Linked DNA regions of Oryzias latipes. The protein of the gene in region 3 purifies or fractionates together with the protein of the main gene of each other region. This does not show direct contact. Links are inferred from orthologs where the notes say so. Each region holds a gene or a part of one and is shown on either strand. Other genes may lie near its edges.

What was found. The genes of interacting proteins can lie anywhere in the genome.
Region 1: the proteins of eif2b1 (region 3) and eif2b5 purify together in Homo sapiens (affinity purification with mass spectrometry; 7 studies listed by BioGRID and IntAct, counting the BioPlex papers as one, with this or other methods). This does not show direct contact. The link is inferred for Oryzias latipes from reciprocal best matches to the Homo sapiens genes EIF2B1 and EIF2B5.
Region 2: the proteins of eif2b1 (region 3) and eif2b3 purify together in Homo sapiens (affinity purification with mass spectrometry; 7 studies listed by BioGRID and IntAct, counting the BioPlex papers as one, with this or other methods). This does not show direct contact. The link is inferred for Oryzias latipes from reciprocal best matches to the Homo sapiens genes EIF2B1 and EIF2B3.

What each region holds. Positions count from the first base shown.
Region 1 is NC_019875.2:17,623,532-17,628,986, forward strand, and holds the end of eif2b5 (translation initiation factor eIF-2B subunit epsilon), read right to left. Parts: intron 4,853-5,455; coding exon 4,540-4,852; intron 4,459-4,539; coding exon 4,313-4,458; intron 3,595-4,312; coding exon 3,450-3,594; intron 3,367-3,449; coding exon 3,265-3,366; intron 3,190-3,264; coding exon 3,088-3,189; intron 2,942-3,087; coding exon 2,851-2,941; intron 2,773-2,850; coding exon 2,649-2,772; intron 2,574-2,648; coding exon 2,448-2,573; intron 2,361-2,447; coding exon 2,250-2,360; intron 1,608-2,249; coding exon 1,545-1,607; 3' UTR 1,431-1,544; downstream 1-1,430. Other genes in the region: mitochondrial ubiquitin ligase activator of nfkb 1-A, read left to right, coding at 13-505. UniProt on the Homo sapiens protein: Acts as a component of the translation initiation factor 2B (eIF2B) complex, which catalyzes the exchange of GDP for GTP on eukaryotic initiation factor 2 (eIF2) gamma subunit.
Region 2 is NC_019875.2:24,327,263-24,332,861, forward strand, and holds part of eif2b3 (translation initiation factor eIF-2B subunit gamma), read right to left. Parts: intron 2,833-5,599; coding exon 2,673-2,832; intron 2,589-2,672; coding exon 2,477-2,588; intron 1-2,476. UniProt on the Homo sapiens protein: Acts as a component of the translation initiation factor 2B (eIF2B) complex, which catalyzes the exchange of GDP for GTP on the eukaryotic initiation factor 2 (eIF2) complex gamma subunit.
Region 3 is NC_019870.2:1,221,444-1,225,219, reverse strand, and holds the end of eif2b1 (translation initiation factor eIF-2B subunit alpha), read right to left. Parts: intron 2,414-3,776; coding exon 2,297-2,413; intron 2,225-2,296; coding exon 2,112-2,224; intron 2,042-2,111; coding exon 1,973-2,041; intron 1,900-1,972; coding exon 1,824-1,899; intron 1,046-1,823; exon of another isoform or gene 878-1,045; coding exon 752-877; exon of another isoform or gene 684-751; coding exon 528-683; 3' UTR 512-527; downstream 1-511. Other genes in the region: ATP-dependent RNA helicase DDX55, read left to right, coding at 3-295, 362-511.

The DNA.
Region 1 (5,455 bases), on a different chromosome or scaffold from region 3:
TGTTTTTTCCAGGATAGAAAAGACGACCAACAAGACGGAGACCAACAACTTTGTGCCTTTCAGCCTTGTTAGCTCTGAATCCTACATTCCTGATGTTTATGTCAAAGTTCAAGATCCTCTGGAGGCCTCAAGTGGTATCCTGGAGACCGTTCACCACAGAATTAGACGTGCCGAGGAGGGATTGGTGGAGATAGCTGTGCAGGGTCTGACGGGTGAGAAACCTGTGGCGCTGGAGGAGGTGGAGAAGCTGCTTCGTGTGGGGACCACTGTGACAGGCTTTGGAGAGCTGGTGCTGGAAGGGGATCAGGTGATAAGGCTGCAGGCCCCAAAGGACGGCCGCAAGTATTTCCTGACGCCCACCGACCACAAAGGCTTCATCGGCCAACACGAGGGAGTTGCTAAGATGTGGCAGTCATTGTCTGCCATAACGGGGATCACAGGTGCCGCCATCCTCACTACTGTTGTGTACAGTTACTTTGAAAAGAAGGATGACAGGTCCGAATAGGCTTGAGGATGCAGAGGTGTCCAACCTGCCCAGGTGTTTTTTTTTGCTTTATTGAAAACCTGCCCAGGTGGTGCCACAGCTAGCGCTGCTTCAGGGGTCCACTGCACATTCCTGATGCTAAACTAATGCATTTGTATTTTAATTGAATATTTTTCCCCATAAAGTGTCCTGTTTGACAGGGCACATGAAAATGCACACATTACAAAACCTTCCAAAAAGCATTCCATGAAATTATAAATATAGAAAAAACCAAATGAGCTGGAAATTTAATTCCAATTTACAAGAGAATTTTTTAAAATTTGTTTAATCAGAAATTGTCTAAAAATATCTGTATGAAACATTGAGTCATTCCTTTACTGGTCTGGATTACTTGTCCAAAAATTATCATCTAATATAAATATAATTTAATAATTTGAAATAAAATGTGAACAAACTCACACCCAAAAGGACCAAATGGGAATATAGCAAGCATCTATAAAATAAAATGCATACTTGTTCCTCAATTTAGAACATAAAATGAGTCAATATAAAACTAATTACAAATTTTAACTTGACGTCTGTAGTTCCAAAATAAGATATTTTATTAGTTTTAACGTATTTTGTTTTTCTAGCTGCTGAATTCTGTGGGTGTTACAATCTCTTTTTCTTTTACCTTGGATTATTTTCATTTAATCTTACTTGAAACAGATGTATGAGGGATGAGCGGTGTTTTCTGATTTTAGGGTGAAACTTGTTCCGTGTCAAACATTCTCTTATGGTTTTTATAAATGTATCTCTTGTGTTTGAGCCAACATTTTCTGAAGGTCCAACTCGTTTGCAGTAGGTGATGACTAAATAAAGCAACAGCTTGATCCTGATGCATTTTGTGTTGAGAAATAAATGAAACATGCAGGCTTCTGCAGGCAAAGGGAAGTTTTTTATTCCATTTGGACAGTTGCTGCAAACAGTCCTCAGATGCTGCGACATCTCCTTCAACCGGATGCCTGCTTCACCTACAAAGTCTCAGGTGTATTTACAGAAATGATTTGTACTCAGTTCATCACTCGCCGTCCTCTTCGGAAAACTCCTCAGCCTCTTCCAACCACTGGATGAACTTCTGAAGCTGTAGTGAAACACAAAACAAAAGCATAAAGCTCTAAAATAAGCCTACGTTTTAAGTTTACTTCTTTCTTAAATTATTGGTTTTAAAATGGATTTATGTCCTCCATCCTAATGACCAACAGGTTGAACTCACGCTCTACATTCTTTTTTTCAAGCCACTTAATTAAGGACTTGCAAAGTTTTTCTTCTCCAGATCCAAAAATAAATCCCGTAACTTTAAAAATCTAAGGTGAACGTCTGCAATGGTAGCAACTGTTCTGCCAAAAATGGCAAATATTTTCCTCTTCCATAAGTTAACTTAAATGTTTTTTAGGATAAGCGGAAAACCAAGCTGAAATGAAATAACTTGTTCTGCTTAGTGTCAATTTAACCTTTAGTTTTTCATAAAATCGATTAATGTTAATACCTTTTTCCCTGCACAAACCTTAAGTGGTAAAAATATATATGCAAAATGAAATGAAATGTGACTAAGCTATACCAAAACTATGATAATTAATACAGAGTATGAGAGCAACCACCAGAAGAAATGATACCATTTAAATCATAAACTAGCCCATATTCTGAGGATGTGGTTAAAAAGAAAACAGCTGAATAATTTAAACCAGAAAATTGTAAAAATAAAAAAAAACCCAGCAGCACCCACCCCCGGGTTTTTGCGGAGCTGTTTGCTTTTGTCTGTGGTGGCTCCTTGTGAGAACCATCGCAGTATCGTCTCCTCCTCCAGGATTTCCAGCTCGTACATGTTCATCAGCACCTGATTGACAGACGACAGCCTCAGACACGCCAAAACAACCACAATCAGCCAGCTTTCCACACTTTATAGTAACTGCTGGTGGCTCACCTTAACCATCGCCGCCCAGTGGCTCTCCTGTTCCCAGAAATGCTCCTCAAACGCAGACAAACAGTCCAAGTGGTCCTGAGCTCTCTTCACGTAGTTTTTGAACACCGGAGCCCATTTCTTCAATAACTGAAAACAGAAAAAAATCATAATCAGCTACAGTCACCTCTAAAGAAATGGGATGGAATGGGAAAGCTGCTTCACCGGTAGGAGGAGTTTGACATATTGGGACGGGGTGAGCTGTGGGCCCTGCTGCTGGAAGGGGTACTCCAGCACCACTTTGGTTAAGATCTGCATCACCTCCTTCAGAGTGATATTGTAGGCATACCTATAGAGGAACAATGAGCTCCAGTGAACAAAGATGTAAAAAAAAGAGCATCAAAACTGCAAGAAGGCTCAGATTTACTTGAGAGAATTTATCTCCAGGACAAGATTGTCACAGCTGATGTTCTCCTCCAAACCTCTCTGCAGGGTCCCAAGCACCTCCAACTGGAAAACTAAACAAAATTATGCAATTCTTTAACTGTTTGGATCAATCTTCCAAAATTTAAGAAATATATTTCTGTCATAAAAAGCCCTGAGAGCTTTTTTTTGTTTGACCAGTAGGGGGCAGTCATGCAGGGCGAACATTAGGAGTGCTCACCTTTGACATCATCCATCTCAGGAGAGGGAATTACTGGGTCATCAGGACCGTCAGGCTCGCTGTCCTCACTGTCGCTCTCAGGATCCGGCTTCAATACCAAACCTGCTCAACATGAGGCAAAGAATTTAAAACAATAACACTCAATAAAGACTGGAGAGCTTTGAAACAGATTCCTACCCCATAGACAATGTGACAGCTCCTCCTCCTCCGTGTCATCCAGACTGCTGGCTCTCCAAATGTAACCTTTTCCTTCTGCCCCAACTTCTGCTGGGTTAAAAACTACAGAAAAGAAGCACCAAGTCATCTCCTAAAACAATGAAGGAGTAACAGGTGATTTCACATCACTTCAGGCCAGCACGCACCTTTCTGCTTGGTTTTGTCTTTGCCTTGGTCAACTTGAGCGTCATCGCTGAGGAACTCATCATCGTCCTCCTCCTCTTCCTCCTCTGGATGATGCATCGACACCACGGTACCCTCTGGCAGAGAAACGTTGGGTCCAATCACCACCTGGAGACAGAGTTCACGTGAATACAAAAAACCTACAGAGAAAACAAAGTTTGGGCCTCGTTTTAAAAAAAACAGAAAACTGGAAATTGATCCAAAAGGGCAGAAAAAAATCAAAAGTTTTTACATCTGCAGCTAGATTTGCTCTCCCAAAAGGTGCTGAAGAAGAGCCACGGACTGCATGAATGAAAGATAAAGTCCGTTTTGACGGTAATTTTGTCTCATTATGCTCCAATCTTTCTGAAAACAGGTACATTTGCATGTCGTTGATATGGAAGCTACAGTCCCATGTCAATCAAAAGACCACACCCTCATTTTAGCACAACTTTTCCTTGGAGAAATAGTCACTTTCAATGAGTGACGTCACACTCACAGTTGTCTTATACAGTCAGTGATGTGAACACAACCATTACACTTCAAATAAGTATAATTCAGTCAAAATCATCTCAGATTTTTAACTCACTCACTAAAGGTGAACAAAAAGAGTAAGCTGTTTAACCTTAAAGTAAGAAGAAACAGACAAAAGTTTTAGCAAGTAATGTAAGCAGTTACACAGCCAGTTGTGTTGGCTTCAGGGATGCACAGTAAAAACACGCCAACACCAGTTCTGGTGAATAATTGCGTTAACGAATTGCACTTCATGCTCAAAGTTGTTTGGTCCACACCAGAGCATGTGAGCCAACAAGAGAAGATTTTGATAGCAGCTGTGTGCGTTTCTTACGTTGTAAGCCAGGACGCACTGTTTATCGAGAGTCACACCCTGTTTGACCTGGACCTTATCGCAGACCACAGACTGACGGATCACCACATTACTCGCAATGTGGACGTCGTTCCAGATGTACGCGTGGTCTAGGATCACGTTGTCTCCTGTTGCAGGAAAAGACGAAACATTTCAGAGGATCAGACAGGCTTTGAAGCGCCGTTGGGTTAACCTGTCAGCGAGCTCACCTATAGTGCAGTTGTTGCCGATGACGCTGTTGGAGATGGAACAGTTGGCGCCGATGCTTGTGTCTCGGTCGATGAGCACGTTCTCTTCCATCTGGCTGCCGTGCCCCAGGCTGACCCCAGAGCCCCGGTACACGTTGTGCCGAGAGTATGTGCAGATCTGCCCTTCCCGGTCGGTGAAGTTGGACTCAGGGGTGAGGGGGTAAACCCATCGGCGCACAAAGTCCGACGACACCGAATCATACATGAGCAGGTTGGACACACGCACGCCGTAGCCATCCGTGGTGACGTGCATATGGATCTGGTTGCCCAGAATCTGAATAGAAACAGTGAATTACTGTCACATGCAGAAGGACCAAAGACGGAAATGAAAGTACCACTCCGATCATCCTTTGATCTATTAAGTCTTCCTAGTGATTTTTTAATTATGATTATGCCGTTTTTGACTAAATCAAAATAACTATGCCAGCTCGGACTAGGAAAACTGTGAGGTAGATGGATCTAGTCGTCCACAAGAAGATGCATCAGAATAAGGCGGAGCAGGGAGCTTGTGGCCCGCCGATTGTAGCCGATCTACATCACAACTACCGTATTTTCCGGACTATAAGTCGCCCTTTTTTCATAGTTTGGCAAGGGGTGCGACTTATACTCCGCAGCGACTTATATTAGAAATAAATTGAAATAAATACATTGTTAACCCTCCTGTTATGTTCATTTGTGAGGAACAGAGATGATGTTCCTGGGTCAATTTGATGTATGAAGTATGTTAAGTGTTAAGAGTATGTTAAGTGACTCAGAGAATCAGCAAACTTTTTTTACAGTAAGATCTTGAAGGCTAACAACATAATATTCTATTTTCCAATGATTTCATAGATTCAGAAATGCAATAAAATGACAACTGTTTCTACAAATACAGGAT
Region 2 (5,599 bases), on a different chromosome or scaffold from region 3:
AAGTCCTGCACTGAGTTGCTCTGCAGGTGTTTGTCAAATGAACAAATGTATTTATTCACATATCATTTCCCACGTGTATGTCTCTGTGAGAGCAGAATGGGTGTTAATATTACAGGAACACCCAGCCTGTGACATCACCGTTTGGCAGGCGGTCAAAAACTCTGGATAAGTCATAATCAGGTGGCCGGCCCATGCGATAAGACTGTGCAACTGCTTTTCTTTAAACCAGCAGAAACAAAATGTTATTTTGTGTTGTTGCGGATAAATTAGATTTTTTTCCCAACACATTACCTTTCCTCCCAGGAGAAGGACGCACCTTTCAGTATCAACAAGCTCATCTGAGCAGGGATTTGAAATGGCCTGAAAGGGCATTTTTCCTCACAGAAATCCACTTTACAGCATCTCACTGAGAAGGGTTCTGGGTTCTCTTTTCTTTAGCTCTGTCATTTCTCTTTTCTTTGTGCTTGTTTTTTGTATATTTTATTATGAGGGGCTTATTTAATTATTTTATTACATGTGTGGGGATTGGTTTTATTGTATTCTTGTTTGTTTTATATGGAAAGCACCTTGAGCTGTCTGTTTGACATGAAAGGTGCTTTATAAATAAAATTAATTTGAAAAAATGGCCGTTCACTGACAGAAAAGTCAGATGCAGCTAACAGTTCTATCCCCTTTTTATTTATGTTCCAAAAATCATTTAACCTTTATTTAAGGGTCAAACTCACATTACCACCTTAACCTATTAGTAAGCTTTGCTGTGAGTGGACTTGAATTGAAATTGTAGAAAATCCTGCCGTTTCTTTTCTTTAATTTGTTTATAAATCATTATTTTTGTTTATGAATATGTTTAAAAATTAAAATACAACAAGATTTGCTTTGATCAAATGAGCTCCTTTATAAAAACCTCGCACACTCCAGCTAATAAAGACAATAATATGAAAGAGAATCAAACCACTGCAAGTAAGATTTAGAAAGTGATAGGTCTCAGAAACTAAACATATTTGGAAGATTTGGCTTTAATGAACCATATTTTGAAAGCAAAAAAAGACACTTGACAGGGCTTTCACTAGTTTTTTTTCTTAGGGAAAGCTTTAAACACTTTTTTCTGGATGTAATCTGTTTTATTTTGTCAAATTTTTCAAAAATTAAAAACCTTTTTAGAAAATGTTTGGAGAAGACACTATGGGTTCCTTTTATATTTAAAACATTGATCCTGCTATAATGTTGCATAAAGAAGTTAAAAAACATTTTAAAGCCATGTTGTGATTGGGAAAGCTGTTTTTATTGTACTGGTTTACAGGAAAACCTTAAACCAGTCTGTGTATAAATAATGATGGGGGTCTAAATAAATGTAGGGTTGAACCTTTAAACAGAAAGCCAATTGAAACACTGTTACTATCTCACGCTGAAAAGTTAACCAATTACAAAGGAGATGGCGATGGAGTGGGCGGGACATCATCTATGATGGATTGCTTTCAGAAGAGAGGTAAACGAATAATTATGAAAGTAATAAAGTAAAAATAAAGCAATTATGGTTTAAAGCTTTATAGGATTAAGATGAAATTCCTTTAACATGGCATTATAGTTTATTCAAATAAAGAGACATTTAGTCAAGAAAAAAATCCCTTATTGCAAAGCAATCTTGGATATTTCAATCTTATCGGTTAGTAAGATCACTAAAACACAGCGGTTGTGCCACCATCAGAGAATTTTCATTTCTGTAGGTTATAAAGTGTATTGGGTCTTTAGGAAGGTGGAAAAGTGCTTTACAAGTATACACCCATCAGCTACCATCAAATTTACAGTAACCTCAAAAAGTACAGCAAAATCATTTGGACTAAGACTCCCTTAACTGCAAAAATAACAAAGGTGCAGCTATTTACAGGTTCTGTGAATCAGTCTCCTTGAAATTATTTTTGGAAATTGACAAATTGTGTTTGTATGCCCTGCTGCTAAAATCAAAAGAACAAACACACAAAAAGCAGGTAGACGTGCTAGTGTGGCTCTAAAGTCTGCGTGCCAGAGCATGCCGAGCAGCTGCTCTGGTCAGAATTTACAGTGGCTTTGGCTCCATGAAGTATTTACGAGCTCCCAAACACCCGCTCTCACACTTCCATGTGTTTTAGCATTGAGAAAGGACAATCCACCCAGAGAATTTACTTTAACATCTCACACACTCATACACACCTTCAGTAAAAGCCTTGGCACAGTTATATGCTGAGCCCAAGGACGACTTCTAACAAGCAACAGCAACTTTAGGTACAGATTTAGCTTATTTAAAAAAAAACAATGCGATTAAATGTTGGAGGCCTTTTCGTTGCAAAAGGTTTCAAATCAGTTTGATCCACCTGATACCACTTGAGCTGAGCATCAAGACAGACCTGATTAGGATTTCACGGGAAGGTGACACATTATCTTGTGGATTCAAAACTGTGCATGCTTTGTCAAATTTGTCATCACCTTTTAGCTGACTTACTTTCTAATGACAGACTTCCTAAGGGAGAGGCCGTCCTCTAGGTCTGCTTCATTGGCCATGAAGAGCAGCCGCTGCCCTGACTGATCCACACCCACAAAGTCTCTCTGCTCCGCTTGAATGCCAGACAAGTCGACAAAAAAGAACGTTAAAAAAAAGTTGCGTTTGTAAAAGGGATTTGTTTGTTTTTTCCTGTTACCTGTCTTTTTCTTGCCCTTCTGCCCCGGGACAGTCTCTGTGAATTCATGGGCTTTGCTCATTAACATGGCTAGTGTTGCATTGTGGGCCCTGAAAAGGTCGACCACCTCATGAAGCGCCACATCCGTTATCAGGTCACAGCTCACAACAAGGATGTCAGTCTGGAGAGAAAGTTTGGAGACAAAAATGTGACGGTTAAGCAATCGTTTATTTACTATGGTGTAAAATATGATTGCATGTCTCAAACAAACAATAAAACTGTTTAATGGAACTCAGGAAAACTGTAAAAAAAAAAAAAAAACACATTAAATAAATTAACAAGTTTATACTAAAGCAGGTTCGGTTATTTTAAGGGGGCCTTAGTGAAAATGTTTACTGCAGAGAGAACAAACTGTTCTATAATCTCTTAAAATAAAGTACAAACTTACATTGATTATACTTTTGCCTGCTTTGTACTATTTTCTGTATTTTAGTTTAAGAGCAGTGCAGTATTATAAATAGTTTATAAAATATTGCTTGTTACTGGTAATGTTTTAAGAAAATTAGCATTAAGGAATCAACAACAAAAAAAAAGAAAAGTTTTAGAATAGATTGATTAAATCAGCATAAAAGTTAAAAACCCAGCAGAATGATTTGTTTAGTTTCTGCAACATTTCAATTATTTACAGTATCTGTAAAAAACAAAACAAAAAACGGTTAAGAAAAAGTAAAACGAATATTTTTCTGCAATCCTGAACTTCAGCTTTAAAACAAACGACTGATATTGTTAAAGTCCCTTTATTGTAAAGATGAATTCTAAGTGGCAAATCCTAATCCAACATACGCAGAAAGTAAAATAAAAACAGACTCTGATCAGTCAATTTAACCGATTTCAATGGAAGCCACATGTCTGCACTTGAGCGTGTGTGCTCCTTGGTGGGCGTGCCCAACATTTGTGTGTCTGCGGTATCCATCTGCCTGTCCAGTGATGAATGCTGTCAGCATAGAAACTAATCCCACCATTAGCGCCAGCAGCTTTAATGACAGAGACATTGTTTTCCTGTGTGTGACAGGAAAGACAGAACCGAATACCACCAGGCAACTCATGAAAAAAGGCAAATACTGAAACAAATGGATGTAAACACATTCTGATATGTGTATCGTAATACAATCTGACTGGGGGGGGGGCAGTTTTTGTCATTTAAACTTAGAGTGAAGTTTCATTTATTAAAGTAAAAGTTTATTAAAGGTAAAATCATTGCAACGATTCACGTTACCCATGATTCACTTCAAACTTGATCTTTAGGTCACAGTTTGTGTATTTCAGAGCAGCAACAACACCAACAACAAAAAACGAAAATATTCAGAAAACATTCTTTTTAAAATTTGCTTATAAGCAAGTAACAACAAAGAAAAACCTTTTAGTTGGCTTATTCTAAGCCTGGTTTAATAAAATAAAACAATAAATAATAAATCCTTCTTACACACTTGTTTGAAATTTTCCTCGTAAACGTTCTGGTAAGGATGCAACCATTCACATTCCCCACGACTGGGTTCAATGGTGTAACTTTACACAGAAAATTGTGGCATCCCTTGTTTGTATGTAGCATCACATGCAAGAGATAAGCTCCTTTTTTAGTCTTCGACATTTTGAAATGAAAACGGAATGATGGAGGCAACTACCGAGAGGTAAAACTTCTGGTTTTCAAAGAAATGCAGATTACTAAATAAATGTCTGTAATTTGATTAATGAAAACTCGGCTCTTATTCTGTGCGCGTAAAAGGGAGAACTGAGAGAGACGGCGAAGGGTCGCCAAGTTGACCTCAATTTAAATCCAACCTTAACCTGCTGTTGGCGACAGAACGCTGGACGTGTCTGCAGGACATCAACTGACACAGAGACTCAGGTTTTTCAGCTTCCCTGACAAGCGTGCACACATGTTCAGAAACAAGAGCGCACAAAGCTACGTGTGACTCCGTGCACAAACACATGTACACACAGACATCAATGGACACAAATGTGCTTGTATATAGGCCACACACAGGCGACAGCAGAGTGGAGTCAGCTGGAGAGACAGAGACACTTTGGCCTTTCAACAGCCAGGATCAGTGGACAGGTCAGGACCACACACACTGATGCTCACACACACACACACACACAACAACAAAAAGAGAGTCACATACTTGTCCAAATGGTGACCAATTTCAGCCACAAACTCCTAACAAATTACACAATTTTATAAACTTTGATGTTTTCTTCTCTTAAAGCTTTTTTTCTATATTGTTTTCCCCAAAACTGCCCAATTTTAAGGCCTTTAATTGTTTGCCCCGTAACCCTTCCTGCATTGATAACAGTAGCAACTCCCAAAATGTATATTTTTAATCATTAATCCTCATTTACAATCGCTGCAGAAGCGATTTTATGTTAATGCTTCAACCATATAGTACCTGGGTTTGTCTTCTTATACTGTGCCTTAGCAGGTTAACAAAAAAAGAATAAGAGACAACAGATGGATGGTTAATGCAACATAAGCTTAATAAAAGAAAAAAAAAGAAAAAGATGGAAAGAAATAAGTTGAGTCTTGTATGTTTGTCGAGTTCCTCCCATGAAAATCCTCCGCTTTGTCTCCCAAGCCGTTCTTTATTCCTTGCTACTCTAAAGTTTTACTAGCAGACTAACATGTCTTTGCTACAGATGAACCTCTGAATCAGAGCATATAGAGAAAAGTTTGTTTTGTTGGCTTATGCCGACTCATTTTACCAGGTGGTTAGGCGGGAAAAATAATGGAAATGTCAAAAGGCTTGAAGCATGCGAAGCACAAAGTGCTTGCAAAGACCTCCTTTCACTAGTTGAGCTTATTGTGAAAGATCGGAGCATTAATCAGTGCATCCGTCTGGATTTGTGCAGCGAACTGTTTGAAGTCAGGAAAAAATAAAGTATGCCGCCAG
Region 3 (3,776 bases):
AGATCTGGACTTCGCCGCCTTGGCGCGCGGCTTCGGGCTCCTCCGGCTCCCGAAGATGCCGGAGCTGAGGGGGAAGACCTTCCCAGATTTCCCTGAGGCGGCGGTGGACACGGACGCCATCCCGTACAAGGACAAGAACAGGGAGAAGCAGAGGCAGAAGACGCTGGCAGAGCAGAAGGACCGAGACGGGCCGGCGCCGCCCAAGAAGAACTTCGCCAAGAACAAAGCCTGGTCCAAACAGAAGAGCAAGAAGGAGCGGAGGAAGAGGAGGGCAGTGAAGAGGAAGCACGAAGAGGTGAGCGCTGACGGCTGGAGGCCGTCTCTGCGAGGACCGACGGTTTAAGCTCCTCCTTCTCTGCAGGGCAATGATGATGAGGAGGAGGCGCTGGAGCTCCTGAACGACACGCGCCTCCTGAAGAAGCTGAAGAAAGGCCGGATCAGTGAGGAAGACTTCGAGCAGCAGCTGACCGACGGGCCGAAGAGCAAACGGGACGCAGAGGCCCCTCTCTGAACCGCTTTATTGACATTTATAGATATAATTTGATGAGTTCGTCGCTGACGGCGGACGGCGTGAGGACGCCCAGGTCCGTGAACAGGAGGGTGATGAGGGAGGGGGGCGTGTAGTCGATGACGGGGTGCTCCTCCGACAGGTTCTGCCTCTTCTTCAGGGTGTCGGCTTTGTACTGCGGAGCAGAAACAGACGTGAGGGCGGGGCTCGCCCATCCAGGAACGCCGTCAGAGGAGGTCTGACCTTGAACTTGTCCGGGACGTCCTGCTGGTTCAGCGGGTACAGCCGCACAAACTTAAAGCTCTCCGCCACCACGTAGAAGGGCTTGTTGTGAGCTTTGGAGCAGAGCGCCATCTGATAGGTCCCGATCTGAAAGGACAGACGCGCCGAGGTCATTGAGGGCAAACGTCCCGCCACCACGTCCCGTCTGACTGAAAAGAGTCTCCATTCTCAAAACTAAACTGGTATCTGATAAAACAATGATTAAATCTGCTGTTTTCTATCAAAATAATTTGAATAAAAAGATTTTTTAACTGATTCTGAAAAAGTCTGAATCTATTTTTCCCATAAAGCTCGTTTGATGAAACAAAACCTTTACCCCTTGTGCTATCTTAGATGACCCCACCCTTACTTTGACGTGTTCTCCCTACCATGACAAAGGTGGATAAAGGTGGAAAGATTTCATGTAATCCATGGACACCAGAGAAGATCACCAATCATTGAAGAAAAAAGGTTCAGAGCACTGTCTAGTGGGTCTAGATGACCCCACTGTCTAGTGGGTCTAGATGACCCAACTCCCAACGTTAAAGTGCCTAGGATAGCACAAGGGTTAACTGAACCCTTTACCTGCAAAGGTACGCTTGATTTATTCACCCAGCTGTCCAGGCATTTCCATCATTGTTGGTACTTTTTAGATCTGAGTATTGTCAGATTTCCTTTTAACAGAAACAATAAAAAACTTTAAGTTGTCTCTTTGAGTCACTGTAAACTAATGACACGTCTTTATTTTTATGTTTTAGTTATAAATATCTGAATGAAGGATGCACTGACCAAAGAACACTTTGAGTTTAGCTGTTTCTCTAGGACGATTTTGGCGACTAAAGAAACTTTTCAGGCGTGTTTCTAACGCAGCTCCACATGCGGTTAAAAACACGCCAGTTCAGGATTCATCAGACGGTGACGGAGGAGTTTCCGCCCGTCCGCCTGCAGTCGAAGAGCGAACCACATGTTCACTGTTTCTGAACTCCACAGTCTGAATAGGTTTGCAGTTTAGGTCCAAACCCACCTCAGAGACTCCGCCCCTTCCACGCCTCACCTTGTTGATGATGCCGCCGCTCTCCACCACCCCCTCTGCTCCAACGATGACCAGATCCACCTTCTCCAGGACGTACCTGAGAACAGCAGAGCATTGAGGAGGACGCGGTGCATGATGGGAAAAAACGTCTGTAACCGAGCAGGCTTCACCCCACAGCGGCGTCCAGGACCACGGTCACCGGGACGTGGAGCTTCGCCAGCTCCGCCGCCATCTGCTGCCTGAGAGGAAGAGGAGGAAGTGAGGCTGTCTCTGCAGCACAAAAACGTGCGCACGCGCGTGCACACTCACCCGGCGGCGTCGGGCTGAGACTCGGTCACGTAGACGGAGAAACGCTTCTTCTCCATGGCGGCTTTCTCCAGAACCCGCAGCACCACTCGGGAGAAGGAGTGGGTCAGGATTTTCTGAGGATCATCAGCAGAAGAATGAGAGAGCGGCAGGACGGCGAGCGCCAAGAGGGAGCGGCGGGAACTCACGGCGCCGTCTTTGATGAAGGTGTGACACAGCTTGGCCACTTTATTCCTGGACATGGAGATCTTCTCCAGAAAGAGCTCTCCTCTCTCCTCCATCACCTTTTTACAGCGGGACAAATCCTGAGGACCAACGAGAAAACAGCCGTTTCAGCCAGAGACCAGCGCCACCGCAGAACACCAGCGCCACCGCAGAACACCAGCGCCACCGCAGAACGCCAGCGCCACCGCAGAACGCCAGCGCCACCGCAGAACGCCAGTGCCACCACAGGCAGCAGGAAACGACCATCCAGGTTCAAAGCGCCACACAAAAAAATACAGAAAAAAAAAAGAAGTTCGGAACATTTGGAGAACAAAGTTGTAAAATTAAAGGTAAAAAAGGTCAAACAATTTTTAAAATGGTCATAAAACTGTGAGTAAAGTTGTGTATTTATGAAGGTAAAGTAATAAAAGAAAGATGAATAGAATAACATTTTTTAAAAATGAAGTTGTAATTTCATGAAAATAAAGTTTTAATGACACAAAGGATTTGGTTTCTTTACATTTCTGTTCAAGGAAAAATGTAAACTTCTGATTTGCCCAAACGGCCGTGATGACCCTGAATGCACCGTCTTCTCTCCCCGTTTAAAGCCCAGGCTGAGAAAAACTTTGTTTTTTGGGGTTTTTAACATCTTGTGGCTTTTTTCTGATGATGGAGGACATAAAGAAAATTCAGCTTAAAACTGCATTTCTGAGTATTTCTCTAATCGTGAAGCAGAAGCAGATGAAAAAATGCAGTTTGAAAAAGATTCCACTTAGGATGTAGAAAATACGCTGGGCGGGGCCAAAGTCTGGGCTGCAGATTAGCCGCAACCCTTTGGTTGTTGGACGACCTGCTCTACCTGTATGGAGAGAAATTAGACTCAGTCGGATTTGTGCGTGCGTAATTCTTGCTTTGTGCGTTTGTAAATTTGGATTTGTGCATAAATTTGGATTTGTGCGTGATTTGTTACTCACATAATACGTTTTGTGTATAAGTTCAAAAAAACATAAAATGAAAAATATGCAAAATGCAATTTACGTATGCACAAATTAAGATTACAACAGCTTGAAACTACTTACACACACACATCTTTAAAAAACACGCACGAATCCCTTGTTACGCACACACGAAGCCAAAGTTACGCACGGATCTACCATGAGACTGTTTTCACGTCTCACAAACGTATCCGTAAGTGCTGCGTTTGAATACCAGTGGAATGCTCGGTCATTAGAATTTTCTTATCAGCCTTCCCTTCTAAACGTTTTTCCTTCAGTGGGTGTAGCAGGGCTTTAAAAAACTTTAAAGGAAAATAAAAATTATTATCTGAGAATATGACGTTCACTTTTAAACGCTAATATATATGTTAAAAGTATATTATTCTCAGAGACACCGAATTGATACCACGACCAGTAGGGGGCACTGTTTTTTTTCTTCCGGAAAAATCAAAGGCAGTCAGACTGAGAG